Arabidopsis thaliana: one gene and its partners. The protein of the gene in region 1 interacts with the protein of each later gene in a pairwise test. Each region holds a gene or a part of one and is shown in the gene's direction. Other genes may lie near its edges.

Region 1 (6,883 bases):
CCTGATTCCCCATGGGACAATGTGTAGCCAGCTTGACCCTGCCTGTTTCAAGTAAGTTGTTTCTCATCAAGTAAATTTCTTTGGAGTGCCAGTTAAGGATTAGTCTTCTGTTTCTATCAGAGAAATTACATACTCTTTCTCCTATAGCTACTCCTCCACGAAAAGCTATAACAATTAGGACCATACATTAGCTTAATTCTTTTAGTTTTGTAGCGGTAATGAGAATGATATGAGATAAGGTGTTGTTTCTTACAGCTTGTAATCACGGCTGAATCAGAAGAAGCATCTTGTAGAATCAGTTTCCTTATCCTAGTTCTGTCATTCCTCGCGTATAATGTGGTGTAGTGGTTGATTCCCACGTAATCAAATGCCCCTTTTATGGTTTTATACATCTCTGGTGTTATCTTAGGTAGTCTCTCTTCCACTAGACTCTTCATTGAAGCTGGATAGTCTCCATTGATTAGAGGATCCATAAACCTATTTTTTAAATCTCATTCTGTTACTTTGGTCTTTTCTCTCTGTAGACTTTTCTATGCAAATTTTCAGATAAAGGGATCTTATATTTACCATCCAAGCCCAAAATCCATTGCTCTACGAGCTGCATCTTTGTCCTCATCACAATCAGACATTGGCTCATACCATTTTGCATCTAATGATATCCCGATTTGACCACGTTGTTTCTCCTTGCATATAGAAAATTTCCCACATTTTATTCTGCACTTAGAATCATAAGATTGTTCTGTTTTGTTTTCTTACCTTAAAGTTTCTTTGGTAGGTATGGTAAGCAGCAGCATGAGACAACAGAATGTTATGAGCTACAATATACGGTTCGACCGATGACTTCCCCTTCTTACAGAACCAATGTCCCAGAAGTGAGCACCTTCCTGGAGCTTGTATCCCTGTGTCATAGCCTTGGATCGATACCCCATGAGGCTCATTGAAAGTGATCCAGTACTTCACTCTATCTCCAAATGCTTTGAAACAGGTGAATGCATAATGCTCAAAATCATCCCTGCACCATTTATTTAGCTTTTTAATTTCGTAATAATCTCACCATATCAGGATTTCACATTTTTATCAAAATATCATATACTCACACCACTTCTCTGCTTAGCCATCCTTCATATCTGTCTTCTAAGGCTTGTGGGAGATCCCAGTGATACAATGTCACATAAGGTTTGATTCCTTTGGCTAAAAGAGCATCTATTAGGCTGTTATAGTACTTAACTCCATCTGGGTTTACTTCCCCTGTTCCATCTGTTAAAACCAGAGTTTAAATAGACCCGTCGAAACGCACAACATTACTCATCATATCACAGCTGAATGAAATAGACTTACTAGGGAATATTCTTGACCAAGATATAGAGAATCTGTAAGCATCCATTCTCAGATCTTTCATCAGGTCTATGTCATTCTGTGATAGCAACAAAACAAAAGAAAGGCTCTTGCTTCTTAGATTCTCTCATTTGTGTCCTGTTGCGTCTTATCTTAGATTTGTTTGGATGAGGTTGCTCTGTCAAGAAGCAACCCTACTTTTATCTTCAAGCTTAAGTCAACAAATTTGTAATTGTTAGGTAAAACTTACGTGAAACCTATGATATTGATCAACCGTAGTATCCGCATTGCTGAAATCCAGTATCTTTCCTGTTGATCAAGAACGATACCATTGAGTTAACTAAAACCTTCGTGATGTTTTCTGGGTTTGTTTCTTTGATACCTGGTTTCTCCTTCGTGAAAGTGTCCCATATGCTTTCTCCTTTGTTTCCTTCTTTCACAGCTCCTTCGAACTGATTTCTTGCAAGAAAATGTTGCGATTGTCAAAATCTTCGTTCTTTCTTTGTTGGATCAGTTTGGAGAAGATGAAGAAGAAGAAGAATGTCACCTGGTAAGCTGAAGAAGCTGTTCCGAATACAAATCCATCTGGAAAATTTGCTCTGCTGATAGATTCTGAAGAAACGTGATCAAGAGGTACGAAGAAGACGACGAAGAACGGAAACAGAACTAAGACGAGTCTCATTAAAGATTCCATTTTTTGGGTCGCATGAATAGAGAAAGTGAGAGAAAGAGAGAGATAAGGGGATGGAATTTTATGGTGAATGAAAGATTTGGAGGCAAGAAAATGGAGTTTTGGTGTGTGTGTGTTTTTAATTTGTAAAGTTGAAGAAGAAAGAGGAAGAGTGCAAAACAAAAGCTCACGTCTTTTGAAGGCTTTTCTTTGGTTTTGACATTTGTTCTCTCTACTTTTACTGCACACGTTTCTTATACTTGTGCCAAAAACTTTTTAAAGTTGTTTACTCTCTTAAGATAAAAAAAAAGTTTGTTACTGAGTGACACTGATTCACCTAACTACCTATGTCTTTTTTTTAAAGATATTCTTCTTGATAGTCTTGTTATTTGTAACCCCAAATTACATGATAATCAAATTAAATTCATAGATTGAATAATATATTATGTACTTTATTTTGAGATGAGTTAATAAATTAATATATAAATATAATGTGAACTTTTATGTTAGCATCCATATCCATTTATATATGTTATTTTTTGTGTGTTTACACTTATCACAAAAAAAAAGGGGTGTATTGAACTTAGGTAAGATTTTGTGGATTTTAGATTTTGAGAGATTTTAAAAGACGTCTGGTCATTTGGTGGATTTTTAGAAGAATCAAAACAAATTTTAAGTGGCCATTAAAAAAATAAAATGGTCATTTAGTGAAATTTTATGTCAAATTTCATAAAATATTGAAGTATTTTGTGTGATAGTCCAAAAAACAATTTGGTAACCATTTAAAGACTCATAAACGTTTCTACGTGCCAATGAAAAAAAATCGAAAATTGGAGCTGCACATTGGCGAATTCCATTAATTACGAATATCAGAATTGTAAAGTTTCTATCACTAGTCCATCCATTCCGAAATTTTGAAGTAATACAAGGGTATATCCGTCATTTTATGTCAGTATTTTTTTTTTTTAGGTCATCTTCTCACTCTAGTAAATTACTCGTTTTCGTATCAATCGATTTTGTTTGTTCTCTGCTTTTTTGGTTTAGGGTTTTAGCTTTTCAAAGTTAAAACCTTTTTTTCCCGAAGAAGAATCAATACGACTCAAATCAATCAATTGAATCTATGGCGATGGCTATGAGACTTCCAGCGATATCTAGAGCTGTGACGGAAGTAGCTTCAGCTCCGGTTGGTTTGAGACGACTGTTCTGTTCAAATGCTTCAAGGTTCTCTTTTTTGTCTCCACAAGCTGAATCCCAAACACCGGCTCGTCCTCAGGCTGAACCTAGCACCAATCTCTTCGTCTCCGGTAACAAACCCTTTTCATCTCTCAATTCATTTCGAGGGTTTATCGTTGTTAGAGTCTATGTCTGTTTCTATTTGATGCTTTTTAAAGATCCTTCCTTTTTGAATTCAGATTTAGATTATCAGGTTCGTCTAACATCAACTAAGATTGTACTCTATGTGTTTAAGAATTTGATAAGTTCAATTATTCATTTTTGGTTCTGATTTCCAGAAAAATGTCTACTTTCGATTGCTTAACTCTAGGAATGAACTGTAAGAGTTAAAGAGAGTTTCTTTGCACTCAATTACTTGAGAATTCGGTTTTTTCGGTTAAAATTTGGATGCTATGTGTACCGGATCAGTGTCTTGTTTCAAGGGTCTATGTGGGCTGTTTCTAACATCTTCAAGGCTTCTGTTTTTGTAAAGTGCTTCCTAGTATCAATTAGTTTTTGAAATACTGCTCAACATTGGGCTTTGATGCAAGCAATTTTGATTAGGCTATTACTTATTGTTCCTTCATAGCCTCTGTTTCTCACTTTTATCACATGGCCATTGAACATCTCATACATACATCTAAGGAATTTTATGTGTTCGATGCTGTGTCTCAGTTTCGTGAAAGTGTCTTCTTCTCATGTTATCTTTATCTTTGTGTCACTGAATATTTCAGGGCTTAGTAAGCGCACCACTTCTGAAGGACTAAGGACTGCTTTTGCTCAGTTTGGAGAAGTTGCTGATGGTGCGTATCTTATAACGACACTATAAAGTTTATGCGCAGTAAACTAGTCATCGTGAAGAAAACTAACTGTTATGATTCCTTTCTCTTCTATTGGTTTTGTAGCTAAGGTTGTCACAGACAGAGTATCAGGATATTCCAAAGGGTTTGGATTTGTTAGATATGCCACTTTAGAAGATTCTGCCAAAGGCATAGCTGGAATGGACGGGAAGGTACTATTCATTCTAATATCCATTTCTCGATTACCATATCATAATCTATTAAGAGAGATTTACACTGACAATTACCAAACGGCTAATCTCCTCTCTGTGCTTCTCTGCAGTTTCTTGACGGTTGGGTCATATTCGCAGAGTATGCAAGACCGAGAGAGCAATCACAGTCATATCAACCTCAGAACAACATGTCTCGTCCTCCATACTATGGTAACCGCTAGAGAAACAGTTTTCTTCGGTTCTTATGAATCTTTTATATTCATATTTATGCTTCATTCTATCCTCTTCTATGATCGAACTGTGTTGTGCTTCGTCTCGTGTTATTACCTTTAGAAGATTAAAAACTTCAAATTATATTTTGAAGGAATAATCAGAAACTGTCATTTACAAAACCAAAGTATTAAGTGTAATAGTTTTTTAAGAGGAAGAGGATTTTGCTTACATGGTTAACTCGGAAATACTTAAAACGTCATCGTTTTGTTGTTTGTGATTTAATTGATTGGACCGGTATGTAATGAGATTGATCGGGTTCTGAGAAATTCAGATCCGGTTTTAGTGTTGTTGATTTTTGGTCGACTTTAAAATCTTTCAGTATATATGCTTCGAGTTTTGTTTTGCTACGATTTCATTTTGTGAACCAAAATTTTTTAGGCACCACCAATCTAGATGATCATTTTCAAAAACCCAATGGGTCCGTAGCCATTAGCCAATCAATAACTCACAATTTTCGTTTAGATGCAACTACTTAACATTAAAAGTGATGATTATAACAAATGGGAATAAGTCATTGGGCCACAGCATTGAGTTCTCACAATTTCACGTGGAGCTGTCTAGAATCTCTACGAACATTTTTGTATACTACAACATGTGGACCGAACAAAAACAAAAAGAAATATCATCCCAAATACTAATGGCTTACATAAATTTATGCACTAAATGTTATAAAGACAAAAAAGGAAACAAAACATACAAAGAGATACCGTTCATACAATAACATTCCTTCGCTGTCCAATTACGTTTGGTGAGACAATTCCCTCTTTCTCATGCAACCAGATTTGTATTTCACAACTCATCATATTACTCCAAAATCATAACGGTACCCATTTTTGGAGTGTTCTTAGCTTATAATGGTAATAGTGATAGGTTTTGTTGTTTTGATTGTGATCTATAATCCTTAGACGCAATGAAAAGTTAGTTGTAATTACAAATGTCGACCGCAACGTGTACAAATGTTTCTTGTTTCCAAGTTTGTGGAGTGGGCACAAGTCAAACTTAACTGCATAAACTAATCAAATGGTAATGTTTCTAATCGGATAACGTTTCTGATTAAGTTCTTTTCGATGGACGATTCTTGTTATTTCTCATTCGATTCGATCGTGTGGGTTAGGTTTATAGATTCAAATCAATCAATCTTCCATCAATATATTTTATGATGACCCATGACACCTAGCAAGTAGCAACATAACAAACTGATTAATATCATTACTAATATATAAACTATAAACTATAAAGTCGTGGTATTAATGAGAAAATGAGGGCATGAATATTTTTATTGTTTTAAATTAGTAAAAACAAAATTTAACAAGATGACTCAGTGGCGGACCTACGTTACAACTAGGTGGAGCACGTGCCCCATATTAAATCTACTAAATATTATATAAGTTGTTATTTTTCATTATATTACAGTTAGCTCAAATGGTTTTTCGGCAAGCAATGCCTTATACTAACCCAAGTTCGAATCTCCAAACCGTCACTTTTGTAAGAATATTTTATAATCTACATACAATTTAGGTAATTAAATTATAATTAATACTATTTATATAAATGATGCCCCACATAAAATTACCTTCTAGATCCGCTCCTGAGATGACTCATCGTCGTTTTTGTTGCGCCGCATGAGTGATTACTTTCAAATGTGAAAGCATTTTAGATGAGTCGTTCTCTACGGTTGAATTATGGTTTTAAAATGAAGCTGTTTAATTACACGTTTCATGAATTAAGTTTGGACCGTTTCATTTTTTATATCGTTAGGAGATATGAGCCTGATCTGATCTATATTTAATATAGTTCTTATCTACATGAGTTTCTATTATAGTTCTTCCTACATTCATTTATTATAAGGTTTTCTCATTGCCACGTATAATATAAGCACATGCAGATATAAGTAACATCATATCATTTTACGTACTTAGAAAATAAAAACAATATGGAAGTTAGTCCCAAAAGGAAAAAATGATAGTGATATTGATTTTAGATAGTAATATTATAACTATGTCTATATAGTTCACTCAATATCCGATTCATTAAGATTGATAAGCCACCATGTAACAAAAGGATAAATTGGGTTATTTGTCTATACGCTAAACCGATCCAAACCAAATTAGAGAGAATAGACAGATAACCCAATTTTTCTTTTCCAAATCCAAATCTGAAGAAAAATAAAGATTTAATTTTTTTATTATACATGTATTTGACCATCTAATGATGTAAAGCAGATGAATCAAAGTGAAAAACATGAACGACCATCATAATTTCATAGGTGACAAAACTTATTCATTTATGAGCCACACAAAAAAAAAGAAGAAGTAGAAATATATGTCGTCGACAAATATTAATAAGTGGTCCAAGAAAATAGGGTTATCAATAAAAACATT
Region 2 (9,300 bases), on another chromosome or scaffold:
TTTCAGGGTTATGGAATGACCGAGTCCGGAACGGTAGCTAAGTCATTAGCGTTTGCAAAGAACCCATTTAAAACCAAGTCCGGTGCATGTGGGACTGTGATCAGAAACGCCGAGATGAAAGTGGTCGATACCGAAACCGGAATCTCCTTGCCGCGCAACAAATCTGGCGAGATCTGCGTCCGAGGTCATCAGCTCATGAAAGGTAAAAAGGGTCAAACGATCAAGCTATGTCCCTTCTTTTTTTTCCTTTGGGAGAATAAACATTGATAGGGAAAACATGGTGCAATGTTGTTAGGTTATTTGAATGATCCGGAAGCTACTGCACGAACCATAGACAAAGACGGGTGGTTACATACAGGAGATATTGGGTTTGTGGATGATGATGATGAGATCTTCATTGTTGATCGGTTGAAGGAACTGATCAAATTCAAAGGCTACCAAGTGGCTCCAGCTGAGCTTGAAGCATTGCTTATTTCTCATCCTTCTATCGATGATGCCGCAGTTGTTGCGTGAGTTCAAAACAAATCTGAAACTTCCAAACTGAGACACTAAAATGGTTGTTGTCTCTAATGATATTTGAATTTTCAGAATGAAGGATGAAGTAGCTGATGAGGTTCCAGTAGCATTTGTAGCAAGATCTCAAGGGTCTCAGTTAACTGAAGATGATGTCAAGAGTTACGTAAACAAACAGGTACGAATTCGCTTTCGGTTTTTCAATGCGAAACACACACAAGATGGAAAACTGTCTATGTCTTAAATCAATGGTGTGATGGTTTATATAGGTGGTTCACTACAAGCGGATTAAGATGGTGTTTTTCATAGAAGTTATACCAAAAGCAGTTTCGGGCAAGATTCTGAGGAAGGATCTGCGAGCTAAATTGGAAACCATGTGCTCTAAATAGACACAAGAGAGTTTCAAATGTATGTGTAAATTCGAACATTATAGTCTCTAAGAAGTAAGGAGTAAGAAGCAAGTATTTGGTATTTGATTTGGTTTTCACGAGATCAATCATGTAAAGTCAACAAATCTAGGAAACCTAAAGCTAAGCTACCCTCAGAAACATAAATTCATTTCCTATAATCATCATTTCACTATTTTCTTAAGAAGAATTATAAATTTAGAGAATTAAGGAACAGAAACATACCCACAAAAGCGACAATGAGAAGTGATTACGCTGGGTAGACTTATGTACTGGGACACACACTCAAAGTTATCCTCCTCTGCAAGCTGAATGCTTCAAGTATTCAGGTGAATCAATCAGCACAAACTTCAGCAAACCTGCAGAGAAAGACGTGGCCCAGCCGCCCAGCGGAAAGGTCTAATGTGGTTAGAAGTCAAGACCAATAGGACACTTGAGAGCTAGATTCCTAGCCATAAGGTAGACTTTTTTGAGTAGATGCTGAAGAACCTAGAATCTGACCTGGACAGTTGAGAGTTACATTCCTAATCACACTAAAACATCAAGGCAATTTGACGGATACTGAACACAAAACCATTGGGAGAGAGAGAGAGAGAGAGAGAGAGAGAACGAGAAGCAGAAACAAGGTGAATAGCTGATGTTTACATGCATGATGCATGCTCAAAGATGGAACCAAATGAAAGCTTTCTGAATTTGACCAATTGCAAGAGCATCACATGATTTCGTTCAAACAAAAGTTCCTAAACAAGCTTTCAACTTTTACCGCAATAATTAGACCATAACTGGCAAAGAAAAAATAACGCAGTAGGCACTAGGGTAGCCTTTGTAATGTTCACAAGACGGAAACTAGAAAACCATAAAGAGAATTAAAGGAAGAAGCTTTATTAATGAGAATTATCCAATGAAAGATCCTCCATTTACTTCCTTATATAAACAATAATATAAGCAAATCCAGCTAAAATCACTCTTAAACCATAAGAATTCTTCTTGTCTATTTTTTTGTTTCCATTTCTAGCAAAACATTCTTCATTACCCATAAGACAAATCAAGCTTAGCAGCATAAGATAAAGACTCAATAAACCCTAACCACAAACTGAGTTTCTTCCTGACGACTCATACCCCAATCACAAACCACATTGTTCTTCTACTCTTCTCATTATCTTTGCTTGGGGTATGCAAAACTTATGGAAAAATGTCAGGAAAAACTACGAAAAATTGAAAAACAAGAAAGACGAAAATGGTAGAAACACTAAGAGGCAGAAGGAAGAGGACGAGGCGGCGGCAACATTTGACGGAGATTAGGACCACCGGTAGCTTTAAGTATGAAAGGATGCTGCAAAAGCTGTTGAGCTGACCATCTCTTAGGAGGATCACTCTGTAAACAACAAGAAACAAAGTGACGAAACTCCTGAGACGCCGTAGCCGGAGCTTCAGGTGGCTGAGACATACAAATAGCACACATAAGACTAGCCCAATCACCTTGTCTACTCACAGCAAAAGGAAACCTCCCCAAGTAAAACTCCAAGATACTAACACCTAAACTCCAAACATCTCCAGCATAACCATCGTAACGACCATGATTCAAATCAGTATTAATCCTCTCAGGACTCATATAAGCAATAGTACCAACAGATGAATTACAAGGATCCATTGTTTGTGCCAAGATCCTACTCACACCAAAATCAGCAATTTTCACATTTTTAGCTGAGTTTATAAGAAGATTCGAAGGTTTGATATCACGATGAACGATATGACGACGATGAAGATAAGCTAATCCACTAAGAATCTGACGAGAGAGATCAGCTAATTCCTGTTCTTGCCATATATGAGCTCCTTCAAGAGATCCTTGATCCATAAACTCAAGCAAAACCTGGATCTCACCGTTATGATCAAACATATCGTGACATTTCACAACGTTTGGATGATCAACACTTCTTAAGATCTCGATCTCTCTACAGATCTGACGTCTCACGGTATCTTCGTGGTTTCCGTAAATCACTTTGAGAGCGAAAGGACGTGACGTCGGAGTGTGGATTACTTTGTAAACCGTTCCTCCGGCTCCGCTTCCGATTCGGTTCACTCGTTCTAGCTCGGATAAGCTTTTAGCGGCGGAGATGTTGGTTGAGATCGCGGAGGAAGACGCCGGAGCGGATGAAGAGGAAGAAGGAGGTGGGAGAGGGAGAGGTACGGCGAGAGCGACGTCGCGGTGTGGGAGTGGTAAGCTTAGGTCAGGACGTTTGCGTAAACGGTTCTTCATAGGTGAAGCTACTCCAGAAGGAGATTGAATCGGTTTCATGGCTTTTAGAAGAAGAGGGAATCAAAAGTTTTTTTTTTTTTTCACAAGGTTGATTCTTTATCTTCCAGGTTTGTATTTATCATCATGATTGACTTGACTCTAGGGTTTGTTTGATTCGTCGTTTTTCAAAGAGATCAAATCAAGAGGAGAATGAAGCTTCATCGAAGAGATTTGTGAAAATGATTGTAAGAAACAAGAAAAAAAAAAAAAGTTAAAATGGTAAGACGAAGGTACGCGTTGATGGAAAGAGCGTGGAATACACTCGCACTTGTGTGGCTCTGTGTTGTTACACGTTAACCATGTTTTTTGTTTGGTCGGGTCTGAATTGGATTATAATATCATTAAGAGTGTTTAAGATCGTGGATTTAGATACTATAAATTTGGTGTTAGGTATTTAATATTTTTAGAAAGTAAGAAAATACAGATTAAAGTTTCTTTCCAATAAAAACAATTGAAAAAAGAAAAACTTAAAGTAATTATAATTCTAAAAAAATTAAAAACTAATTTTCTTTTTAAAGTTTTTAACAGAAAAAGAAAGAAATAAAATTAAAGTGGTACAGTGTTCACGTGCGATGCATGTGACTTAAAAAATAAGTTTGCCTTCTTTGCCGTCAATTCTTCCGCAGAAGTTTTTTCGAACAATCAATCTCTGACTCTCTGAGTAATTAGGTTTTTTTTTTATCTCATGGCCGGCGCCGGAATCCACCCATACCACCAGCAGTGGCCGCCGGCAGGTGCGCCGCCTCCTCCAGCCGCAGTATCATCAGCTGCTCCACCACATCCGCCGCCCATTCATCACCATCCTCCTCCTCCTCCTGTTTTAGTTGACAACCATAATCGTCCTCCTTATGACGAGGTTCAACTCTTTCTCTTTCTCTCTATACATATCGGTGATTCTTGTGCTGTGTTGTCGAGATGGGCTTGCTTGATTTTTGTTTACGTTGAGGTTTTAATTTGCCTGCTTTTTGATATACAATGTTAGCTTGATTTTGCTACGGAATCGATAAATTGTCCAAAGTTATGACCTTTTTGATAAGAATGATTTTTAAGTTTGTTACTAAAATCTCACTTATGACCTGTTGCATAAGTGAGAAAGGTTCTCTTATCTTGTCATGTAGTTGGAGTTTTCTGATTTTGGGAAAACGTGATCTCTTACACAAGTTTGAATCTGTTGTTCAGCTGCGGACAATCTTCATCGCAGGGCTTCCCGATGATGTAAAAGAGAGAGAGCTTTTGAATCTCTTGAGATGGTTGCCTGGTTACGAGGCTTCTCAGGTGAACTTCAAGGGAGAAAAGCCCATGGGGTTTGCTCTTTTCTCCACAGCTCAGTTTGCAATGGCAGCCAAAGATACCCTTCAGGTCTGTCTGCTTCTGATCATTGTTGACTCAGATCCTTTTTTGTCTTCACATTATGACATATGTTGTTCTTGGCATGCAGCATATGGTGTTTGATGCTGAGTCAAAGTCTGTGATACATACAGAGATGGCCAAGAAGAATCTTTTTGTTAAAAGAGGTTAGCTCTACCTTTATGACATAAAATGGCTGTATTTTATCTATCTTAAGCATTAGTCATGTTACTGAAGCATGTTTGATACAGTTTTGTGCATTTATACGGGGTCTCACTACACTCTCCCCTTTATCTAGTTTCTTACTTCCTTTGTTAATATCACAAACCATATATAACCTTTGAACTCAATCTTTATTCTGTAGGTATTGTTGGGGATTCAAATGCTTATGATCAAAGTAAGCGCCTACGAACTGGTGGTGACTGCACACACTCTGTGTATAGTCCATCTCCTTTCCATCCTCCACCTCCTCCTGTGTGGGGACCTCCTCATGGGTTAGGCATTTGCTTCTCCTTCATATTTCATATGCTGTGTAGAAATTGGACGATGTGTATTTGGTACACCGTTTTATGTTAAGTTGCTTATTTGACAAGAAGATAAATTGGTTCAGATATATGGCACCTGCACCTCCACCATATGATCCCTATGCAGGTTATCATGCTCCCCCTGTACCAATGCCTACGCCCCCACCTATAGCAGCTCCTAGTTCTTATGTGCCTGTCCAGGTGAAGTTGCACTGTTTTCATCATTTTATTTATCATATGGTGGTTGTGCAATTATATACCCGGAATCCATATTGTACTTGCCTCTCCTTGCCTAAAAATTACAATCTCGAACTTCATTCTAATTAGCTTACATGCTATACTCTCTGGTGGTTGTGTTGTGGAACAATAGTTGTTGCCTAATTTAAATGCATTGTCTACTGCTCTGAATTTGCTAAAGTTTCTGATTGTTTGATAAATTTTGTACCTAGTTTGATGAATATCTAGCCTAGGTTTGGTGATCTGATATATGTCTCATGTTGTTTTCAAATTTTTTTCAATTGCAGAATATTAAGGATAATCCACCTTGCAATACCCTATTTATTGGTAATCTTGGGGAGAATATAAACGAAGAAGAATTGAGGAGCCTGTTGAGTGCGTGAGTATCTGTTCCCTTTAGTGAGACTCCTGTCCATTGCTTTCCTTGAGATCTTGGCCTTTTTGTAGACCTGTGTTCTCAAGAATTCTGCGGTAAACTGTACTTTCATTTTGCAGGCAACCTGGTTTCAAACAAATGAAGATTCTGAGACAAGAAAGGCATACAGTTTGCTTTATTGAATTCGAGGTTAACTCTGAGACCTTCACCATCTGTGTATATGTGACAGAAAATATTCTTCTAGCATATTGTTAAATTCTTCTATCTGGACTTGCAGGATGTCAATAGTGCCACAAATGTTCACCATAATTTGCAAGGTGCTGTCATTCCAAGTTCTGGTTCAATTGGCATGAGGATCCAATATCCTTATATACTTTTACTCTTTCTGATTATTTAATATTCCAGTATGCCAAGTTCTTTTTTCTTTTCTGTTTGATTCTTCTTAACCCAATGATACATATTCAAAGAATCCATATGGGAAGAGAAAGGAAGGTGGCGGCTATTCTTTCTTTCCTTCTCCGAGTGCTAATGGAGCCCAAGGAGCCCTGACATATCAGTAGGCCTTGAAGGGGGACGTACTCTCTTCCTTATCTCCCAACAACTGCACGAATACGATGCATCTTCCAGGCAGTCTGCATTTCATCCATTTCCATTCTCGACATTTTTAAGCATCAGCATTGCTTTGTCATGTGTTGGGTGCATATAGTGTGACCTCATCAACATATAACATGTTTCAGTTTCTATTAGCTCTGCTACATGCATTCGCAGTGTGGTTTTTGATGATTGTTTGAATTATATAGGAGTTTGGTTTGCTATTTGTTTATCTTATTGCGGCTTTAATACATCACTTTGTGGGATTCATTTTCATCATTCTGATCGATTCATCCTAATGAAACGTTAGCTAGGAAAAAACATAACATTACATTAGATCATAACATGATAACATCCGGAGGCCTTCCATCAACTTCGTTTCACTGCATGGACACGGAATGTTGCTCTCATGATTGATTCATCCTAACGAAACTCCATTTGCTATGTTAGCTGATATACCATTACATTAGATCATAACATGATAACATCCAGAGGGGTTTGATCAACTTCGTTTCACTGCATAGACATGGAATATTACTCTCATGATCTATCACATCGGTTTCATTCTTCAGCATTTCCCATGTCGATCATTCTCTGTTCTTACTTAGGCTGATGAACAAGCACATCCGTTTTGTCAGAAGTTGACAGCTGATATAACATTTGAAGATAGGCATTCCATTACATTGTAGGTTTATTATAGTTGAGCAAACATATATACATTCCCAGCTCTGGCTTGGCCTTATGCAGGGACAATCCGTAAAGAGAAAGCCCAAGCTCTCGAATAGAGATGCGTTTCACCTACAAAGTTGAGGTAAGGTCATCTTCGGACGTCCAGGAACAGAGCCAGGAGTTCCTAAGAGCCTATCTTTTTACAATGGAGTCTACTTATCCAATCCAACTTATCTCTTTTCTAACTGATGTTTCTGTACGGCTTTGGGCTACTTGACTCTGGATGTGAAAACCAGAAGCGAATTTAGTGATTCTTCAAATGAGAAAGTTTCTCTTCCATTTTCAAGAACAATGTGTGTATAATTGGTCGCTTACTTATCAGATTTTGAGGTATAGGATCTCTAGGGCCTAGTTTCATGTTTTGTTTCTCTGAATTCGAACCATGGTAAATTTGCTGTAAAGAGAGGTAGGTAATATAATTAACCCAAGAGACAACCCAAGAAGAATCGATAAAGGAGTGTCTCAACTCTCAAGTAAGAAACATGTTTTCATTATTATGATTGGCGAGTCTCAAGCTTTCATCACTGTAGACAACAAAGAAAAAGATTTGTTGCACAAAAGGGTTTGTGCATTCCTTAGACCAACTTTCCAGAGAAGCAAAACATCTAAAACCACAAAACCATGGTCTTAAAAGAAAATTCTTAAACGTCAGGTGTGTCTGAGCGCAGAACTGTCAAGAAAAACAAGATAAAGAGTTGGGAGGTTAATAAAAAGAAGAAAAAAAATATAAAACGGAACTGAGAGGTAAAAGATTGAAACCCCTCTTCAAGTTGTTCAAGTAAAGATCATCAAGCAAAAGGTAGAGATGTCGATCAAATTGGTGGAACAAACGCACGGAGAGGGAGGAGAATCGTGAGTAACGTGCCTGGTTTCTGAGGCTTTCCATCGGACCATTTTGGAGAGGGAGAAGTGAACCTTGTCGCGATTGATTGTTTCAGCTTTGAATGGTTCTTTGAGACGGATATACGCCGTCCCCATACTCGTTCTCAGCCCATTTTAGGCCTTTCTGAATTAGGCCCAAATACGTTTACGTGTTTTTAGAGGAAAACTTTCAACGTGCATGTCAAAGACAAATTGTTTGTTTATTTTCTCATCAAGCAAGACAGAGACTACTATTTTGCTTTTTTTAAAAGAAAACGATGTAGCATTTTCCTTGTCGAGAAGCTAAGGAAACCTGACAAAAATGCAAGGGATAACAAACGCATTAACCAAAGTATAATTTTTTACAAGCAAAGAAACATTTGCACAAAACCCATAAATATAAACCTCATTATCCCATAATTAGCAATGCTGCATAACACATAATTTAAAAACCCTAAGAAAAAAATCGGAAGTTTGTGGAAGCAAGAAGAAGAAATGATGAATCCAGAATCCGATCATCCTTCATCTCCTCGTCAACGTAAGATTGGAATCGCCGTGGAGCTCTCTGAAGAAAGTGCCTTCACTGTTCGTTGGGCTGTTGATAACTACATCCGTCAGGGAGACGACATCATTATTCTACACGTCTCTCCAACCGCCGGTCTCTTTGGAGCCGATTGGGGATATTACCCTCTCCAAACTCAACCTCCTTACACCACCGCTTCTATTTTCTCCAAAGTAGCGGATCTCGGGAAGCCATTGAAGGAAGCTGGATTCCCTCACACGATTCATACAGTCAAAGATTACGATAAGAGAGAGAGGCTTTGTCTTGAGACTCAACGGCTCAATCTCACTGCTCTGATTATGGGATTTGGTGATGGCTCTGTTAGTGATTTCTGTGTTCACCACTGTGTTTGTCAAGTCGTTGTGGTTAGATACCCTGATGGTCCTGGCAGTGTTGAAGGTACTCGGGCAGCGCCTATTGTAACTTTCAAATCACGTACGGATGATGACGAAGAGATAGATAAGGCTAAGACTGCTCTGACTGCTTCTGTTCATCATCAACACATCAAAGGTTTCTTTCCTTGTGGTTTTCATATTTACTTGCAAAGCACTCTATCTATCCATCATAAAAAATTTCATGTCCTCCTTTTTTTTTTTTTTTTTCCGTCTTAGCCATGGATTCGGTGTCAAAGCAGCCTCTTCTCTTTTGCCCTCGTGCATATTTTACTAACAATGAAGAAGATTTTCGCGCGATGCAATTCCGAGAGCCACCAAATCTTTCATCTCCATCTTTTCACCTCACCTCCTTAGTTTTGGGCAACGACTTTAACATAACACGCAAATACTACTACGACAGACATGGCAAGGGCTTCATTAAAGGCCATAGACCTAACAAACAATGTGAAATATGCTCCAAGT
Region 3 (7,139 bases), on another chromosome or scaffold:
TTTAGTCTAATCGCTCGATTCTTGTCTAATTTTGTGTTGTTTTTGTGAATTAGGAATTTGATTGAAGCCATTGATGAGTATGAAGGAGATGACCCTTTATCTCCATGGATAGAGTGAGTTCCTTTTATCATTCTTGATTGGGTTGTTGAAAAATTGAAATTTTTCTTGAACCAATCTTTATGCTGTGACCAATTTGTAAACTGAGCTTCTTAATTGGTTTCTTTGGAAGGTGTATAAAATGGGTACAAGAGGCTTTTCCACCAGGAGGAGAATGTTCAGGACTGTTAGTGATATATGAGCAATGTGTTCGTAAATTTTGGCACTCTGAACGTTACAAGGATGATCTTCGTTATCTTAAAGTCTGGTTGGAATATGTAATGATTCTATCTTTAATTAAACCCTCTAGATGATTCTTTCTTTGTTATGGAGAGAGTACTCATAGTTTTTGTGTGTGTTTTGAAGGCGGAGCATTGCGCTGATGCGGAAGTGATTTACAAGTTTTTGGAGGTCAATGAGATTGGAAAGACACATGCTGTCTACTATATAGCTTATGCTTTGCACATTGAGTTTAAGAATAAGGTCAAAACTGCTAATGAGATCTTCAATCTTGGAATCTCTAGGTAAATGAACAGATATGTAATCTTACTTTCATGTTTCGGCTCCAAGTTATTGGTCTGATTTGAAAGTGGGAACTTGTGCAGGGATGCAAAGCCAGTGGAAAAGTTGAATGACGCGTACAAGAAGTTTATGGTGAGAACGATGAGAAGGTCCAACACAGCTGATGAAGTAAAAAGTTTTGTCTCTTTGTAACACTTTATATCTATTCATTATGGACTAAGGTTTTTCCTAATCATAATTAATGTTCTACCTACCAGCAGGAACCAAAGGAGAATAATGACTTACCGTCAAGAAGCTTTGGCACTTTATTGTCCAGGGGAGATAATAGTGAGTCACATTAACTTAACTTGGAAACCACTGAAATGTTTTGGTAAGCTATCTTACATGAAAATGTTTTCTGTAGATGCAAGAAGGCAGGCGTTAGGAAGTTCTAACCCACAAGCCAAAAAGCTAAAGCCAAATCAGTAAGTAGTTTGATTGGTTCTATATTTCTCGTTGTTTTCATTATCTGCATTTTCTATCAACTCATACCTTTAAATTATTCTGCAACTCACTATGGTAAGCAACTTTGTCTTTTGCAGATCATCCAAGACACCTTTTGCTATCTACGCAGATGCAGTTTCAGACACCACATCAGGGAATCAACCAGAGTCAGACAAGTCAAGACCAGAGTTTGGTAGTTGGCTCATGCTTGGAGGCAGAGCAGAGAGGAACAAAGAAAACAATTCTTTACCTAGAAAATGGGCATCATTCAAGGTTTTCCCTCTACCCTCCTAAACAAAACTATCTCACTTGGCTCATACTATCTCTATAAATTGATCACTAACTGCATTTATATTTATTGTCACAGGTTCCTCAGAAACCCATTGTGAGAACTGTTGCAGCAGCATCTGCTTCCACCTTTGAGGTTTTTGTCGATGAAGAAGAATGTACAGAGTAAGTTTGACTAATTTTTCAGAAGTTTTCTGAACAAAACATGTTTCCACCATTAACATGATTCTGAAATGCAGAGAGGAAGAAGAAAAGAAGAAGAATGATGAAACTATCTCATCATCATCAAACGTTCTGCCCCTTAATGGCGGCCGTGAGATAAAAAAGTAAGCAAAAAAATTCCCCTAAAGATTCATTCACCAAACAAATATTATATCATGACTTGGTAGAGATCTAACAATGGTTACTTAAAAAAATGCAGAGAAACAGAGCTGCTACGACAGAACCCTTTAAGACATTTCCCACCCAACAGCTTCCTACGATGATGATATTGGACTTTCTTCTCTACACGATCTTATGGTTTGAGATTTGAGCTTTTGTCTATAAAGCTCCTTGTGTGTTTTTGCCTATTTGGATTTGTTTTTGTGATGTACTGGGATATACTATCCTACTATGTACCATGATGTGCCTTTCATGTTTTGAAATTAATGTGACTTGTCTTGTTTCAATCCTTATATGATTTGTTTCTCCTAAAGTAATCATTCTACAAAAAAAAACTTTATATCAATTTCCACTAATTAACCTAGATTACCACTTATGATTAAACTTAAGGAATCATTTTAATAATGCCCTAAATGTGGCCAAGTCATTGGTTTATATGGCAAGTGACTTTGTGATCCCAATAATTTTTTGGTCTAGTCGTCTAGGCAACTAGCGTACCTTTGTTTTAGAAAAATTCTAGAGTTTCATTGTAAATCAATGGATACGTATGGATGGGTACAAACTAGAAAAGATAATCAATCCATTGGGCATTTCTTCCATAGAAAATAAAGTGGCTTTAAACGGATGGGAGGGGGCATAAAACATAATCAAGCATTAATAGCCATTTAAATTAATGATTAAAAACGAATGATGCGATTTTGGAGATAGACTTTGAGTGGTAAACAAGGGCAAATGAAAAAAAAAACTTGGGAATTTTATTTGGTGTTAGTGGTAGGGGCATCATTTCATTTCACAATCTACCCTTTAGGGGTTTTAAGGGTTCCCTTTAATGCAAAGTATTGCATTAAGTACGTAGCTAAACATTTATACGACTGAGTCAAGATTTCTAATAAAACAAAAAACAAATTCTATGCGTAAGATGAAATTCTATATTCAAACAGAAATGGTATTTACGGTATCGATGTCTCTTGGTTTTTATTTTATTGGCTTTAGTTTCATGTCCTCTTACTAGCAAGCTTGAACAAAACATTGGCATTGGTTCTCTTTCTCCATCTCAAAGAACATTATGGTTTAATCTTGATTTGATTTATACATGTTTACCCTTAGTCATGTGTGTTTCATAAATCATATCTCCATTTTGGATTTGATCTATTTCATAGAAAACTTTGCTCTATAGTTCTAGAGCTCTAGAGTTTCTCTTTCTACTTGTCAAAAATCATAAACCTTAACATGTAGTAGTGATATCTCTGTTTTTCTTTTCTTCTTACAAACCTTAAACAACAAACTTTTTTTTATCATGATTTTTTTTCTTATTTTTAAACCCTCAAAAGTGAATATATTGATATATCTATCTCTACTCGTCAGCAAGCTTTCCTCATGCTTCTCTCGTCATTCATTTGCTTTTTCATAATGATGTTGTCTTATTGTCTACATTGTTTTAAGGAACGGTTAGCTACGATTTGTTTATACATTTAAGTAGGCTCAGAATTATGCCAACAAAAGATAGTTTCAGAGTTTATTGCAACAAAAAATAGTTTACAAAAAGGGTCCCAAAACCCATTTAATCATTTAAATGATTTAGGGTACTGTTACTAATTATGATATGTGACTGTTGAAAACTTCTACAATGTTTATAGCATTTTTTGTAATGGAACTCCCAAAAACCCTGAGGGCTCTTAAAGATCACTAGGTTATTAAAGCAGAGACTCACTAATATTGTCATTATCTTAAGCTGACAAAAACGTAGAAAAATCCAAAAAAATAAATGGCGGAGGAAATTGACCAAAACGCATATATAAGGATTATGGAGTAAAAGCAACTTATGGTAGTTGGAGAGAAATTAACCAATAGAAATACTCAAAGGGCGCGTTTATTGCCATAATCTACGCCCCCTCCATATTTACACACAACCATATCATAATATTACCAAATATGAAAATTATATGTGCATTATCTTTATTACATAAACAATAAATACAGTTTATTATTAATATAAGAAAAAGATAATTTTTGATTTTATTTTTAGAGTGATCTTGGCCGTAGAAAATGAGGTGATGAAAGTGATGTGTCAAAAAAATCAGGAAATAGCCATATCAAGCATGTAATCCCTAATTACGGTCTAAAGGAATTAAAGATTACGGTCTACTTAAATTCAACATATCTACATGAACCTTATGAAAGGCTTAAGGGACGAAATTAAAATAAAATGATAACACAAGGGTCAATTTTATCTACAGTCACCAAATTAAAAATCAGATTAAGATACATTAAAAAGTCATTATCTCACAAAATAAATCTTTTCTTTGCTCTTTCATTTGTAGCTCCTCTCTCTCTCCGGCGCTAACGGGATGTCCTCACCATAACGCCGTTAAGTCTGGAACCCGTTTGAACGGAATTATCAAAACGGGAAGGAATATTCCGTTTGAATGGCTCTGGAACAGTTAGGATTAGGAGTGAGCGCCGTTGACGGTGGAGAGAACAGTAGCGCGCCGTCAAATGACGGTGGAGATGACGGCGTTAAGACGGCGAGACTTCCTCGTTGGACGAGACAAGAGATTCTGGTTCTGATTCAAGGGAAGAGAGTGGCGGAGAACAGAGTCCGGCGAGGGAGAGCGGCGGGTATGGCTCTCGGGTCGGGTCAAATGGAGCCTAAATGGGCTTCTGTTTCGTCTTACTGTAAACGTCACGGTGTAAATCGTGGGCCGGTTCAGTGCCGGAAAAGATGGAGCAATCTCGCCGGAGATTATAAGAAGATTAAAGAATGGGAGTCTCAGATTAAGGAAGAGACTGAGTCCTATTGGGTTATGAGGAATGATGTTCGTAGAGAGAAGAAGCTTCCTGGTTTTTTCGATAAGGAGGTTTATGATATTGTTGACGGTGGTGTGATTCCTCCGGCGGTTCCGGTTCTTTCGCTTGGATTGGCTCCGGCGTCAGACGAGGGATTGTTGTCTGATTTAGATCGGAGAGAAAGTCCTGAGAAGTTGAATTCTACTCCGGTGGCTAAATCAGTTACTGGTAAAATTCAGATCAAAGTTTAAGTTTTTATTTTGTATGTTCATCAGAATGATTCCATTTCTTATGAAGTTCAATTTTTTTGATGAAGATGTTATAGACAAAGAGAAGCAAGAAGCTTGTGTAGCAGATCAAGGTTTGTTTATCTCTCTGTGTGTATTTGCTTGATCTATTGCTCTATATGCTAATCTCAAACTAGTTTTAGAGCTCTAGAGTGTGTTTCTCTTGAGTCTTGACTATGTAGTTATGTTGTCATGTAGATAAATGATGTTTTCGTATTCTAAAATGCATCTCAAATTGTGTTATAAAAGTAGTTTAACAATCTTCCCTATGGTGTGTGATCTTTTCGTTTATGTTGAAGGGTCTCTATGTTCTTGTTTTTATACTAAAATGTTGAGTTTGAACTTGAAGGTAGAGTGAAAGAGAAACAGCCAGAAGCAGCAAACGTGGAAGGTGGATCGACATCACAAGAAGAGAGGAAGCGTAAACGGACATCTTTTGGTGAAAAGGAAGAGGAAGAAGAAGAAGGAGAAACAAAGAAGATGCAGAATCAGTTGATAGAGATACTAGAAAGAAACGGGCAGTTGTTGGCGGCACAGCTTGAGGTTCAGAATTTAAACTTAAAACTAGACAGAGAGCAAAGAAAAGATCACGGTGATAGCTTAGTCGCTGTTCTCAATAAGCTCGCTGATGCTGTGGCAAAAATCGCGGATAAGATGTAGATTTAGTAAAAGTTAGTTGTATATCACTTTGGCCATTACTTCTCATTCTTCTTCTTCCTTTTTTTTCAATCATTTATCACCATTGTTGATTGAATATTGATGCCACCACAAGAGGTTATTATACACATCTTATATAAACATTGAGATTTATACGGGTTTAGGATATCATTTGCCTTAGTGTTACCTTTTGACTGATTTGAACATCTTGATGTGTTGATGATTTGTTGCATAGCATGAAATTGAGTTTTCATCTTTCTTGCTTCCCCTAACAACAGGATTAATAACATAATATTAAATGGTATACGTAGTCATATGACCCTTGAACATATACAAATAGTTACTCAATTGGTTAGAAAATGACTTTGGTATATGCAGATTGAAGATCTGCCACTTTATGTTGTTTGGTAATCTGATAGCTACTTTGAAAACAATTTCTGTATTTTAACTTCTTCTTTTATAATCTATAGAAATTAAATTGAAACCGTATCTAACTCGAACCAATTTTTTTGTCTGGATTGTAGTGCAACATGAACTATATTTAACATATTATCGTGAGCTTGAATTTGAAACCAAAAGTTGTACTAATACCAAAACTCAGTGATGCAAAATATCAAATAAGTTCCCATATTACTTTGGATTATCTTTCACAAAATAGTTGTTATGCACATAATTCCAGTCCAAATTTGTTTTTTTCGTCAGTTATAATAAAAAGACAAGCAACAGTTTCATAAAAGCCGCACGACATATTTGACCACTGAAATTTATGTACGAACTTCGACTTCCATAGAGGTAAGTTAACTGACAAACTTTTCGAGTCAAAAACTTTGGATCATCAGACACAAAACTAGTAAAGAAAATTCACAGAGATGTCTACTTTCGTCATTTAAAATACCCCTCATCTGGCGCCAATCACACGTCGCGCTGACATAATTTACCTCGTTCGGATCGCTGACGTGTACGGTCTAGATTAAACTCCTTCTCTCAACTAGATTCTCCTTCTTCTTCTCTCTCTCTCCCTTCGTCTATATTTCACATTCTCTTCAAGTTTCGGCCTTCGGAGAAAATAATAAGCATCTCAAAATTTGGATCTGGAGAAGAAAATTTGAAAACTCTCTTGTTCTCTCAAAGGTGGTGGTAGATCTCGAATTGGGAATTTTCGAAATTGTGAATCTTTGAAAAAAAAAGAGTTAAATTGACAAAACATTTCCTTAACTTGAATCTCTGTTTTTTGAATCGTTTAAATTAGAGAAGAACCCTAATTTTTTCTGTTTTGGAGATCTCTTCTCTGGACCGGGGACTAAAGTGGGCGATTTTCGAATTCAAGGTTTTTGTTTCTGAATCGGGTTTGGATTCGTTTTTGAGCAAAGTTTTGAGATTTTTACATGCTTGTAGCTCGATCTGGTTGTTCTAGAACCCTAATTCGAATGGGCAACGATGAAAACTTGATGGTAATGGTGGATGTTGAGGAAGGTGAGATTCCTGATTCTGTCAACACTGAGATTGAAGTTAAGCACAAGAGTACTACTACTACGGCCGATGTTGGCGGAGACGTCGATGTTGGGGTTGTGGCTGGAGGAAGAGGAGGAGGTGGTGGTGGTTCTAATGGCAACTCTAGGGTTTGGACAATGGAGGAGT
Region 4 (8,882 bases), 660 kb from region 1:
AATCGCTTACAATGTTCGATCAGTTGCTACAGCAGTCAAGTGTTTTTCCAAATAGGTTTGCCTTTAAAACGTTTCTCCATATACGATTAAATCAGTTCATCATATTCATAGTCAACTTATTCTTATTTTCAGAATAGTCTGATTCTCTTTCGGTCTTATATTGTTCCTGTTAAGTTACAGTAATCTGAGTATGACATTCATTAACATTTACTGCAGGTTGGATGAGATTAAAGAGCGACAAAGACTTTAGTTATTAAGTCTTACATTCATCAGACGCAAGAGAGACAGAGAAGTTAAGACCTAGCTAAATAAGACAGAAGTACCTCTTCTGTTCTCTCGTGGCTTACAAGATGACCTCCATGAAGATCCACCATTCTAGCGACTGGATATAGCCTCTGTGCCAGTCTTCTTGCGTAACATATCTGAGCAATCACATCATGTCTGCATATAACCCAACACATTCTCACATTAACTACTGTGTAAAGGTAAAGATGCTTTACAAGATCAACAAACTCAAGACTGAGTGCACAAGGTGACTTTGATTCTAATTTCTTTGGTGTTCCGTACCTTCCATGAATGACTGAGACAAGAAATCCAGCCGAGCGGATTAGTTCAATCTCTACTTTTGTGATTTTGTGTAACCAACAAGCGTTAATTTGGCCATCAAACCCGTACTTGGACTGCATTCCAGTTTCTGATATTCCTTTTACATATTGCTGTATTGCATCACTCAAATATAAGTCACCTTAAATCGTTCACTAGTGATATGCTTATATGTCATTTTCTTCGCATAATAACCAGTAAACCCACCTGATATAAAATTGCCCGTCTTGTATTAGTTCCTACAGATTCTTCTAGGTAATCCTGCATATATAAACAGCATGAGAACATAATCACTCACAAGTTTCATCTGGACAGTAATACGCCAGCCTTAGATTTTGTTACCAAATTACTCTACTACCATAATTCTTCAAGACCAATGAGTTGATCTCTCAAGTCTCAACCAATTCTAAAGAACATAAATCTTCAAGACCAATGACTTGATTTCTCTACCAACTTTGTTATAACCGAATAGAGAAAACAGCACCAAACTTTGCAATATAGAACGAAAGTTTCAAATGAAACACAGATTCAACAAATGCATGCCATATTTCAAACTCCAGTCGTTGCTCTATTAACTATAGTTCTAAGCCAATTTTGTTCTTAGTATTTCAGTACATCGAAGAGCAAACTGAAAGTCCCCACCTTTGAATAATGTGTGTCCAAATCAACAGCTGCCCTTTGTTCAGGGGTCTTTGCTTTCAGAAAACGTATCGCAATGGAAAGCGATTTCCGGTCAAGCTGAAGCACATAAAAACAACAGTGCATGGTACTCAGAATTTTGTATCCAAGTGAAACATCACCTTGTGACAAATCATGACAAATAAGAAAACAATAGTTTGTCTTCATGATAAGAAACCAACCGATATACACGTATGAACAAGTCATTGCTACCAAAGAAAGAAGATTCAACAACAACGCCACGTATATCATTCAAGTACCTTAGGGAAGCATTCAAAACCTCCACCTGTAACATTAAGCAACGCCAAAGAAAGAACCCGTTCAGGCGCCATTGCAGCTAACTTGCAAGCTATCATTGCTCCTGTTAATCAAAAAGCCAAGAGAGACTAAATAATTTGGCTCAGAAAAACAATCAATAGTCACTTGAGTGATCAAACATATTACCCATAGAATGACCAATTATGTGAGCTTTCTTCCAACCCAAATGATCCAACAAACTAATTGAATCATTTGCCATTATCGTTGTTCTGTACCAAAACAAAACCCAAATTGAGTGAAGAAGCTAACAAAACCAATTTCACAGGAAATTGTTAAAACCGAGATTAAGAACACAAAGCAGAGAATTTTAAGTTCTTCAGTAATGAAATTGGCTCACGTGTACTCAGATTTGTGGGTAGGCACAGAGCTTCGACCCATACCACGATTATCGAAAGCGCAAACCTCGATGCCGGAATCATCGGAAACAATTCCTCCGTCGTCGTCATCATCGTCGTTGGGTTTATCCGTTCCCGTCAATCCCATGATTTGAGGACCCCATGACTCATGGGTTCCGGCTAAACCTGAACAAAATTAGAAAAACCCAATTGAAATCAAGCTCGGAATTGCTAAGGAAACTAATCAAATGGGAAAGATGGAGATTACAACAGACCTATGATGAGAAGAGCTTTGATAGGACCATGACCGTACGTTCTGTAGAAGATTTTGATTGCGGCATTGTTAAGCGTCGTCTCTGGGCCGACATCTTCTTTCACGACCTCGCAAAACGGCATCGCTTTTTTTGTTCTCAAACTCTGATATCTGGGTGGGATCAGATTTTGAATAACCGGAGAGGAGAAGAGGAGAAGAAAGGAAAGGACTTTTCTATCGGAAGAGAGAGAGATTGGGTCTGTGGTGTGGTTCGGTTCGGTTTTTTGGGTGGAGGTTAGGACTGCCACGTAGGATTGGTCGGCTGGATTTTATTGGCGGGTAATATCTAACAAAGGTCAACGGTCAAATTTTTTACACGAGAAAACTATGTTGTATAGAAATATAGCACGTGAAAAACGCTAGAAGTAGAAGTAGTACTACGTCAATGGAATTCATATGCATCATATATAAGAGAAGCGATAATGGGTCTGAACACAAGTGGAGCATTAACCTAAAACAATAGCAACTTAGACCATTTGTTGAAGTAGTCACTACACTATTTTAATCTCCGGTTCAATTTGTTGAACTTTATAATGTTTTGCTATTTTGATCCGCGTTGCTTTATATTATATTGGTGTGGTTTCAGGAGAAGACAGATCGAGACACAAAACAAGGCAAGATCGTTACTGACATTTTATGCTGGACACTAGATAATTGTTCACCAGGACATGTGATAATAAAACCTCCATGACTTCGTGGCTGCTTTTTCATTATATATAGTTTAGGTCACCATCTTGTCGTAGCACAACCTGAAAACGCAATACCTTCTCCTGAAACGGAAAATATTTGTTGGGAAGACCTATCATTTGGAAAGTACTTATGCCCGTCAAGGCTCACAATTTAGACGAAACGATCCACCAACAACTTAAGCTTTGAGTCTTTGACCATAAGTGCGAGACGATTTTCTTGTATTGTTAATTTGTTATTGCTTGTTTTTGTGAACTGATCCTTAGTTTTTTTTTTCATCAAAAGTGATCATTTAGTTAAAGACTTAAAGTGCAATGAGAGTTTGGTTTCTTTATTTTTAAACTCTTGAAAAATTAATTTTGTCAATGAAGCAATACAAATTAAATTGCTGAAAAGGGATAGTAAATCGTTTTTTGTCCTTACGGATTGGTGATGAAAATGGTATTCAACGGATGCAATACTTAGATGCACCAAATGATTTTTACCATATGCTAAACTTTAACACTAAACCAATTATACTTTACCTGGTAAATATTAAAAGGATTTTTTGTTTTCCAAAAACAGTTTTAGTATATGTACTTAATTACATAATACCGCGGTTAATAAATAGTTAAAAATTAAATTAGAAAAAAACACATACGTGTCTACAGTTTTAGTCTCGTACATAACACGAAAAATCATCTAATTGGTTACGTATTAATCATATCATTTTTACCTATTAGAAAAAAATTATTTATACATTTTTAGTATCTACTAATACGTTACGTGAGCACAAAAATTCATCTTCATCAGTGCTAATAACTATGCGAAAATCTGATGACGATTCATTTGTCTAACAATTTATTTAGCTTAATACGAGTTTTTAAAGATGAAGCATACCCAAATTTCCCAAGAGACCAAAACGACAACGTTTGGGAGTAGCTAATATCGTAGTTAGCGCACGCCACTAACATCACCCATTGCACGGTCTCTCTCTACTCTCAAACTTCAAAAAGCTTTGGCTTTTTAGATTCACAGGAAAGAACCCTCAAAACACACAAAAAGCTGGTGATTTTTGCATTGCACCGATTCGCCTCCATCGATTTTGGACATTCTTGAATTCTCCCTCCAAGTATTCCTGTGAAATTGACCGGAAAGTTCCTTCCTTTTTCAATTTCCGGTAAAAAGGAAAGTAATTGGGTACTGTAGACTTCCTTCTAGGGCTTGTGAACTTTCTAATCCTTCAGAAAACCCTCGAATTCGAAAAATTTGCTGCGAGATTGATAAATGACTAGTTAAAGATTTGAACTTTGATTTCTGGGTTTGCGATTTTATTCAAATGGAGAGATCTAGATCCAAGAGAAACTACCACTATGACCAAGACTATGACGGAGATTCCATGCCTAGGTCTAAACCTCGCTACAACAATAATTACCACTTTGGTGGTGGCGGCGGAGGAAATAACAGATACCGTGGCGGCGGCGGTGGTGGAGGTGGAAATGGCCGGCCATCGAAGTCTCATCCTGAAACGATGGCAACAACGACTTATCGAATCCTCTGTCACGACGCTAAAGCAGGAGGTGTTATTGGTAAATCCGGGACAATTATCAAATCTATAAGGCAACACACCGGCGCGTGGATTAACGTGCACGAGCTAGTTCCTGGAGATGCAGAGCGTATCATTGAGATTTCTGATAATCGTAGGCGTGACCCTGATGGGAGAATGCCGTCTTTCTCTCCTGCTCAAGAGGCTTTGTTTAGTGTTCATGACAGGATTTTGGAGAGTGAAGCTCAGTTTGGTTATGGTGGACCTCCGCCGGAAGAGGAGGAGGATTACGGTGGAGTTAGACCTGGTGGAGGGAGAGTTGTGACTAGATTAGTGGTTTCTAGGATGCATGTTGGTTGTTTGTTGGGTAAAGGTGGGAAGATTATTGAGCAGATGAGGATTGAAACTAAGACTCATATTCGGATTCTTCCAAGAGAAAGTAACTTACCTCGTTGTGTTTCACTCTCTGAAGAGATTGTTCAGGTCTGAAAAATTGCTATTTTGAGAACATATTTGAAATGGTGAATCTTGTTGAGATTTTGATATGAAATGTAGTCAGTTTATTGAAATGCTAGATAATTTAAATGTGTGATTGTGAGGTTGAGGTTGTTGACAAGAGTTGAATCACTCTTATGTAGTTAGCTTGGTCATTATTTGTTATGTTTAAGCTTTCTTTGGTGTTTTCTACCTATGGGAAATGCATTTATAATGTTGGTTCTTTCAGATTGTAGGTGAACTAAATGCAGTGAAAAACGCTTTAGCCATTGTATCATCTCGTCTAAGGGAGAGTCAGCATCGTGATCGGAGTAATTTCCAAGGGCGTTCACATTCACCAGAACGGTCGTTTGCAGCTGCGGGGGATGATTACATGCCACAGCTAAGAAGACAATCATCCGATAGGTTTCCTCGTGGTAATTTTAGAAATAACAACTTCAGTTCTCGCCAGTCCAACTATGCAGAAGAAGCTCCAGCAGTTCCAGTTGGTGAGAATGTCTACTCCGAAGAGCTTGTGTTCCAGATTCTCTGCCCAGCTGACAAGATTGTTCGGGTTGTTGGGGAATCGCAAGGAATAATTGATTTGCTTCAGAACGAGATCGGCGTGGACGTTAGAGTATCTGACCCAGTTGCTGGATCTGATGAACAGATAATCACCATTTCTTCGGAAGAGGTACTCTAAATACCCTCAGATCTTCTTCAATATTATCTGTTACATTTACAATTGTGAACTTGAAGTTTTGTATTCTTACTTTGCTTAGGCACCTGATGATCCATTTTTCCCTGCTCAAGAAGCCTTGTTGCACATTCAAACTCAGATCATAGATCTTATTCCGGATAAAGATAATTTAATAACAACAAGATTACTTGTCCCATCTAGAGACTCTATATGTTTGGAAGGGAAAGCAGGATCAGTATCTGAGATATCACGATTAACTGGAACAAGCGTACAAATTCTAGCTAGGGAAGAAATTCCCCGATGTGCTTCTATCAATGATGTTGTTATACAGGTATGTTTGTCTATTTTTGAGGAGTCGAGCATTTTCTAAACAACTTCTGGTCTCAAAAGAGAATTCTTATGTGAATGTCGATGTAGATTACTGGCGAGATCAGAGCTGCTCGGGAAGCACTTGTTGAATTAACATTACTATTGAGGAGTCATATGTTCAAGGAGCTCTCTCAAAAGGAGACACCACCAGCTTCCACATCCACAACTGGCCCTCTCGAAGGTGTTGCAGGAGTAATGGAGGTAGCTTCATCAAATAACACAATTCAATCTCGTGAAGGTCCTACTAGTTCGAATCTGAACTTGCAGCAAGTTAGCACAATCTTGCCACAGTTTAAGGTTTTTGTTCTCATCAACAATCTTTTCAATATAAAGGCATCTGTAATCAGTTAGGGTCAGACTTATTTTTGCCATCGAAACAATGTAATATTACTATCAGGCTATGCATAATTACCTGAATACTTGGAAAGTAGTCTATGGTTCTTGTCCATTCGTGCAATGTCCCTATATTTACATATATTTTTCTCTTGGTTTTTATAGGAAGGTTTCGGATCAGTTGCAAAGGCGGGTGAAAGTGAACACCGGGAAGAGGTTCCTGTCACGACAAGCAGGTAGAGAAACTCCCAAATTTGATATATTTTCCCAAAACCGTACAAGTGCTTGTTTCACACCTTTCCTTCCTGCTTTTTGTTTTTTTCTCTAGAATGGCGGTACCACTTGTTACTAGAAGCACTCTTGAAGTTGTCTTACCAGAGGCGGTTGTTCCTAAGCTCGTTACGAAATCAAGAAACAAGCTTGCACAAATCAGTGAGGTAGAACTCTTTTTAACTGGAACTAGATTGGTGCAAATCATGACTCTAATCAAAATCTTTGACGCTTTGTCTTATCTCTTTCCCACTTGATCACAGTGGTCTGGAGCTAGTGTAACCATAGTTGAAGACAGACCAGAAGAAACACAGAATATCATTCGAATTTCGGGTACACCCGAGCAAGCAGAGAGAGCTCAGAGTTTGCTTCAAGGCTTCATTTTGAGCAGTAAGTTTCTCTCTTTCCAAACTTTTATATCCGTATTGTACTGATCTATAAGTCTGATTTCCGTTCCTTGTTTGGTGCAGTACAAGAGGATGGACCGTGAACTTGGACCAGATCATCAGTCAACACAGAGATGAAGATCAAGAAACTGAGAAATGTGGAGTTATGTATGACTTGTTGAATATTAGGATTTCAGTAAGCAGTAGTTTAGATGAACATTCCACATTTTGACCATCACTCTTTGGTTTCTATGTTGTCTATTAGTCTTCTTTGTTTACATTGTTCTGTAACTTATTTAAAAAAGTCATTAAAGTTTAATCCGAATGACTAATCATTAAAGACTCATCTTTAATTCACACCACCCCTATGTATATTGGAAGAACTTAAACGCTGCGTTTCACTTGAGTTAACATCATTGAGATTGGGGTGTTTTTGCCCTAGATAAAGTTTAGGGTGAAAACATAGATAAATCTTAAGTCGTATTTTACAAAAATAGCCACTGCTAAAACCTCACCTGCGGCTTCACCTTTCTTCGAGTTCGTGAAAAAGAGACGTCGCATCGCACCGCCGTCGCCATTTCCACCGTCGTAGCATTGCCGCTTCACTGGTGATTGATTCTTCCTTAACTTCTCTTTTTGTTTTCTCTGTTCTCTTATATCCGTCGTTTTCTAGGGTTTTCTCACTCCTTGTTGTGGAATCTCTCTTTGTAGACTGTCGCACTGAATATTGTTGAATCGAGAAAATGGCTTATGTTGGGCAAAGTAGAAACGTGATTCGGCATGTAGTCTCGAGAGGAACAGCTTATCACAAGTATGAAAATGCGATTCATCATCCTCTCCTTTTCGCTTGTCAAGGAGTTCGATACAGAAAATTAGAAGTTATTCTTACAACGGTGAGGTTTAATGATTCTGAAAGGCATGATTTTTATCGTTTGATTTTGAAATTTCCTTCACATTTCGTTGGGTTGAATTGAAATCAGATGGTGGGTTTGTTTTGATTTGTCTTGATCTTTATCTGATCTGGTTTTGTTAGGGCATTGAGAAGCTTGGCAAAGCTGGTGAGACTGTGAAGGTAGCTCCTGGATACTTCAGGAATCACCTTATGCCAAAACTTCTTGCTGTGCCTAACATTGACAAGTATGCTTATCTCATCCGAGAGCAACGCAAGGTACTAGGCTCTTAATTTTGCAAAATAGATTTAGTCTGATATTAGGTCGTACAATGCTAGTGGTTTTCTCCTCTTGTTGTTGTGGTATCTAGGTTGTGATCTTGATGATGTTTAGTTCTTGATGTTAAGGGTAAAACAGATACTTTTGACATAATGTGATAGTGATATGGTATTGAAACTATTTTGGTTTAGTGTTAGTGGCTTCTCCTTTAATTTGATTTCGTGATGGGAATGTCTTCAGATGTAAAGGGAACTGCAGATAGTTTTGACTTTCCCTGATAATCATTATGGTATCACAGTTAACTTGGTAAAGTGTTTGATTTCTTGATGGGAATATATTCAGATGTATAATCATGAAGAAGTAAAGGAGGAGGTTAAGGTGGTTCATAAAACTTCTGAAGTCCAGACAAAAGAGTATGAAAAGGCTGCAAAGCGTCTGGCGAATGCTAATTTGGTAAGTTTAGCTAACCCTCTTTATTCGCACTATTCAGCATTCTTGTTCTTGTTGAATATTTAAAATGGTGTAAATATGGGATCTATTTGTTTGATTAACAGGTATTGAGGAAGTTAGTTGACAAGGAAAAGTTCAAAAACCGCTCCTCAAAAGACGACAAACCTGATGTTCAAACTCCTATCACAAAGGAAGAGATAGTCTCTGAGGCAAGTGTTCTTTCCTTTTAAGTGACTACTAGTTTTGTAAGTAGGTCTTATAATCATTGGTTG

Evidence for each region.
Region 2: the proteins of AT5G54580 (region 1) and AT3G21215 interact in a two-hybrid assay, tested with the Arabidopsis thaliana proteins (one large-scale study listed by BioGRID).
Region 3: the proteins of AT5G54580 (region 1) and AT2G33550 interact in a two-hybrid assay, tested with the Arabidopsis thaliana proteins (one large-scale study listed by BioGRID).
Region 4: the proteins of AT5G54580 (region 1) and RCF3 interact in a two-hybrid assay, tested with the Arabidopsis thaliana proteins (one large-scale study listed by BioGRID).

The regions. Positions count from the first base shown.
Region 1 is NC_003076.8:22,168,207-22,175,089, forward strand, and holds AT5G54580 (RNA-binding (RRM/RBD/RNP motifs) family protein), read left to right. Parts: upstream 1-2,959; 5' UTR 2,960-3,125; coding exon 3,126-3,309; intron 3,310-3,951; coding exon 3,952-4,020; intron 4,021-4,122; coding exon 4,123-4,229; intron 4,230-4,339; coding exon 4,340-4,450; 3' UTR 4,451-4,813; downstream 4,814-6,883. Other genes in the region: BGLU41 (beta glucosidase 41), read right to left, coding at 1-42, 134-165, 254-477, 568-683, 757-1,012, 1,098-1,257, 1,339-1,414, 1,586-1,644 and 2 more. UniProt on the Arabidopsis thaliana protein: Involved in C-to-U editing of mitochondrial RNA. Functions as minor mitochondrial editing factor. Controls 6 percent of the mitochondrial editing sites.
Region 2 is NC_003074.8:7,439,833-7,449,132, reverse strand, and holds AT3G21215 (RNA-binding (RRM/RBD/RNP motifs) family protein), read left to right. Parts: upstream 1-3,820; 5' UTR 3,821-3,901; coding exon 3,902-4,072; intron 4,073-4,395; coding exon 4,396-4,575; intron 4,576-4,654; coding exon 4,655-4,730; intron 4,731-4,927; coding exon 4,928-5,057; intron 5,058-5,173; coding exon 5,174-5,288; intron 5,289-5,611; coding exon 5,612-5,703; intron 5,704-5,819; coding exon 5,820-5,889; intron 5,890-5,977; coding exon 5,978-6,060; coding exon of another isoform or gene 6,061-6,097; exon of another isoform or gene 6,098-6,157; coding exon 6,158-6,260; 3' UTR 6,261-7,682; downstream 7,683-9,300. Other genes in the region: 4CL5 (4-coumarate:CoA ligase 5), read left to right, coding at 7-202, 296-509, 589-691, 783-902; MKK5 (MAP kinase kinase 5), read right to left, coding at 2,170-3,216; AT3G21210 (zinc ion binding protein), read left to right, coding at 8,377-8,953, 9,055-9,300.
Region 3 is NC_003071.7:14,208,545-14,215,683, reverse strand, and holds AT2G33550 (Homeodomain-like superfamily protein), read left to right. Parts: upstream 1-3,990; 5' UTR 3,991-4,196; coding exon 4,197-4,785; intron 4,786-4,873; coding exon 4,874-4,918; intron 4,919-5,193; coding exon 5,194-5,504; 3' UTR 5,505-5,702; downstream 5,703-7,139. Other genes in the region: BUBR1 (BUB1-related (BUB1: budding uninhibited by benzymidazol 1)), read left to right, coding at 54-113, 230-374, 463-620, 702-786, 876-945, 1,022-1,082, 1,200-1,374, 1,469-1,554 and 2 more; CPL3 (C-terminal domain phosphatase-like 3), read left to right, coding at 6,887-7,139. UniProt on the Arabidopsis thaliana protein: Transcriptional repressor that binds DNA and plays a negative role in regulating microbe-associated molecular patterns-(MAMPs, e.g. flg22, elf18, chitin, and LPS) triggered immunity (PTI) by negatively regulating immune gene expression.
Region 4 is NC_003076.8:21,511,103-21,519,984, forward strand, and holds RCF3 (RNA-binding KH domain-containing protein), read left to right. Parts: upstream 1-3,793; 5' UTR 3,794-4,252; coding exon 4,253-4,942; intron 4,943-5,183; coding exon 5,184-5,627; intron 5,628-5,715; coding exon 5,716-5,964; intron 5,965-6,050; coding exon 6,051-6,299; intron 6,300-6,500; coding exon 6,501-6,571; coding exon of another isoform or gene 6,572-6,575; exon of another isoform or gene 6,576-6,603; intron 6,604-6,663; coding exon 6,664-6,772; intron 6,773-6,868; coding exon 6,869-6,995; intron 6,996-7,075; coding exon 7,076-7,095; 3' UTR 7,096-7,445; downstream 7,446-8,882. Other genes in the region: AT5G53050 (alpha/beta-Hydrolases superfamily protein), read right to left, coding at 324-716, 811-864, 1,246-1,341, 1,542-1,642, 1,726-1,808, 1,937-2,120, 2,210-2,330; AT5G53070 (Ribosomal protein L9/RNase H1), read left to right, coding at 7,735-7,884, 8,025-8,159, 8,503-8,613, 8,715-8,819. UniProt on the Arabidopsis thaliana protein: Acts as a negative regulator of osmotic stress-induced gene expression. Involved in the regulation of thermotolerance responses under heat stress. Functions as an upstream regulator of heat stress transcription factor (HSF) genes.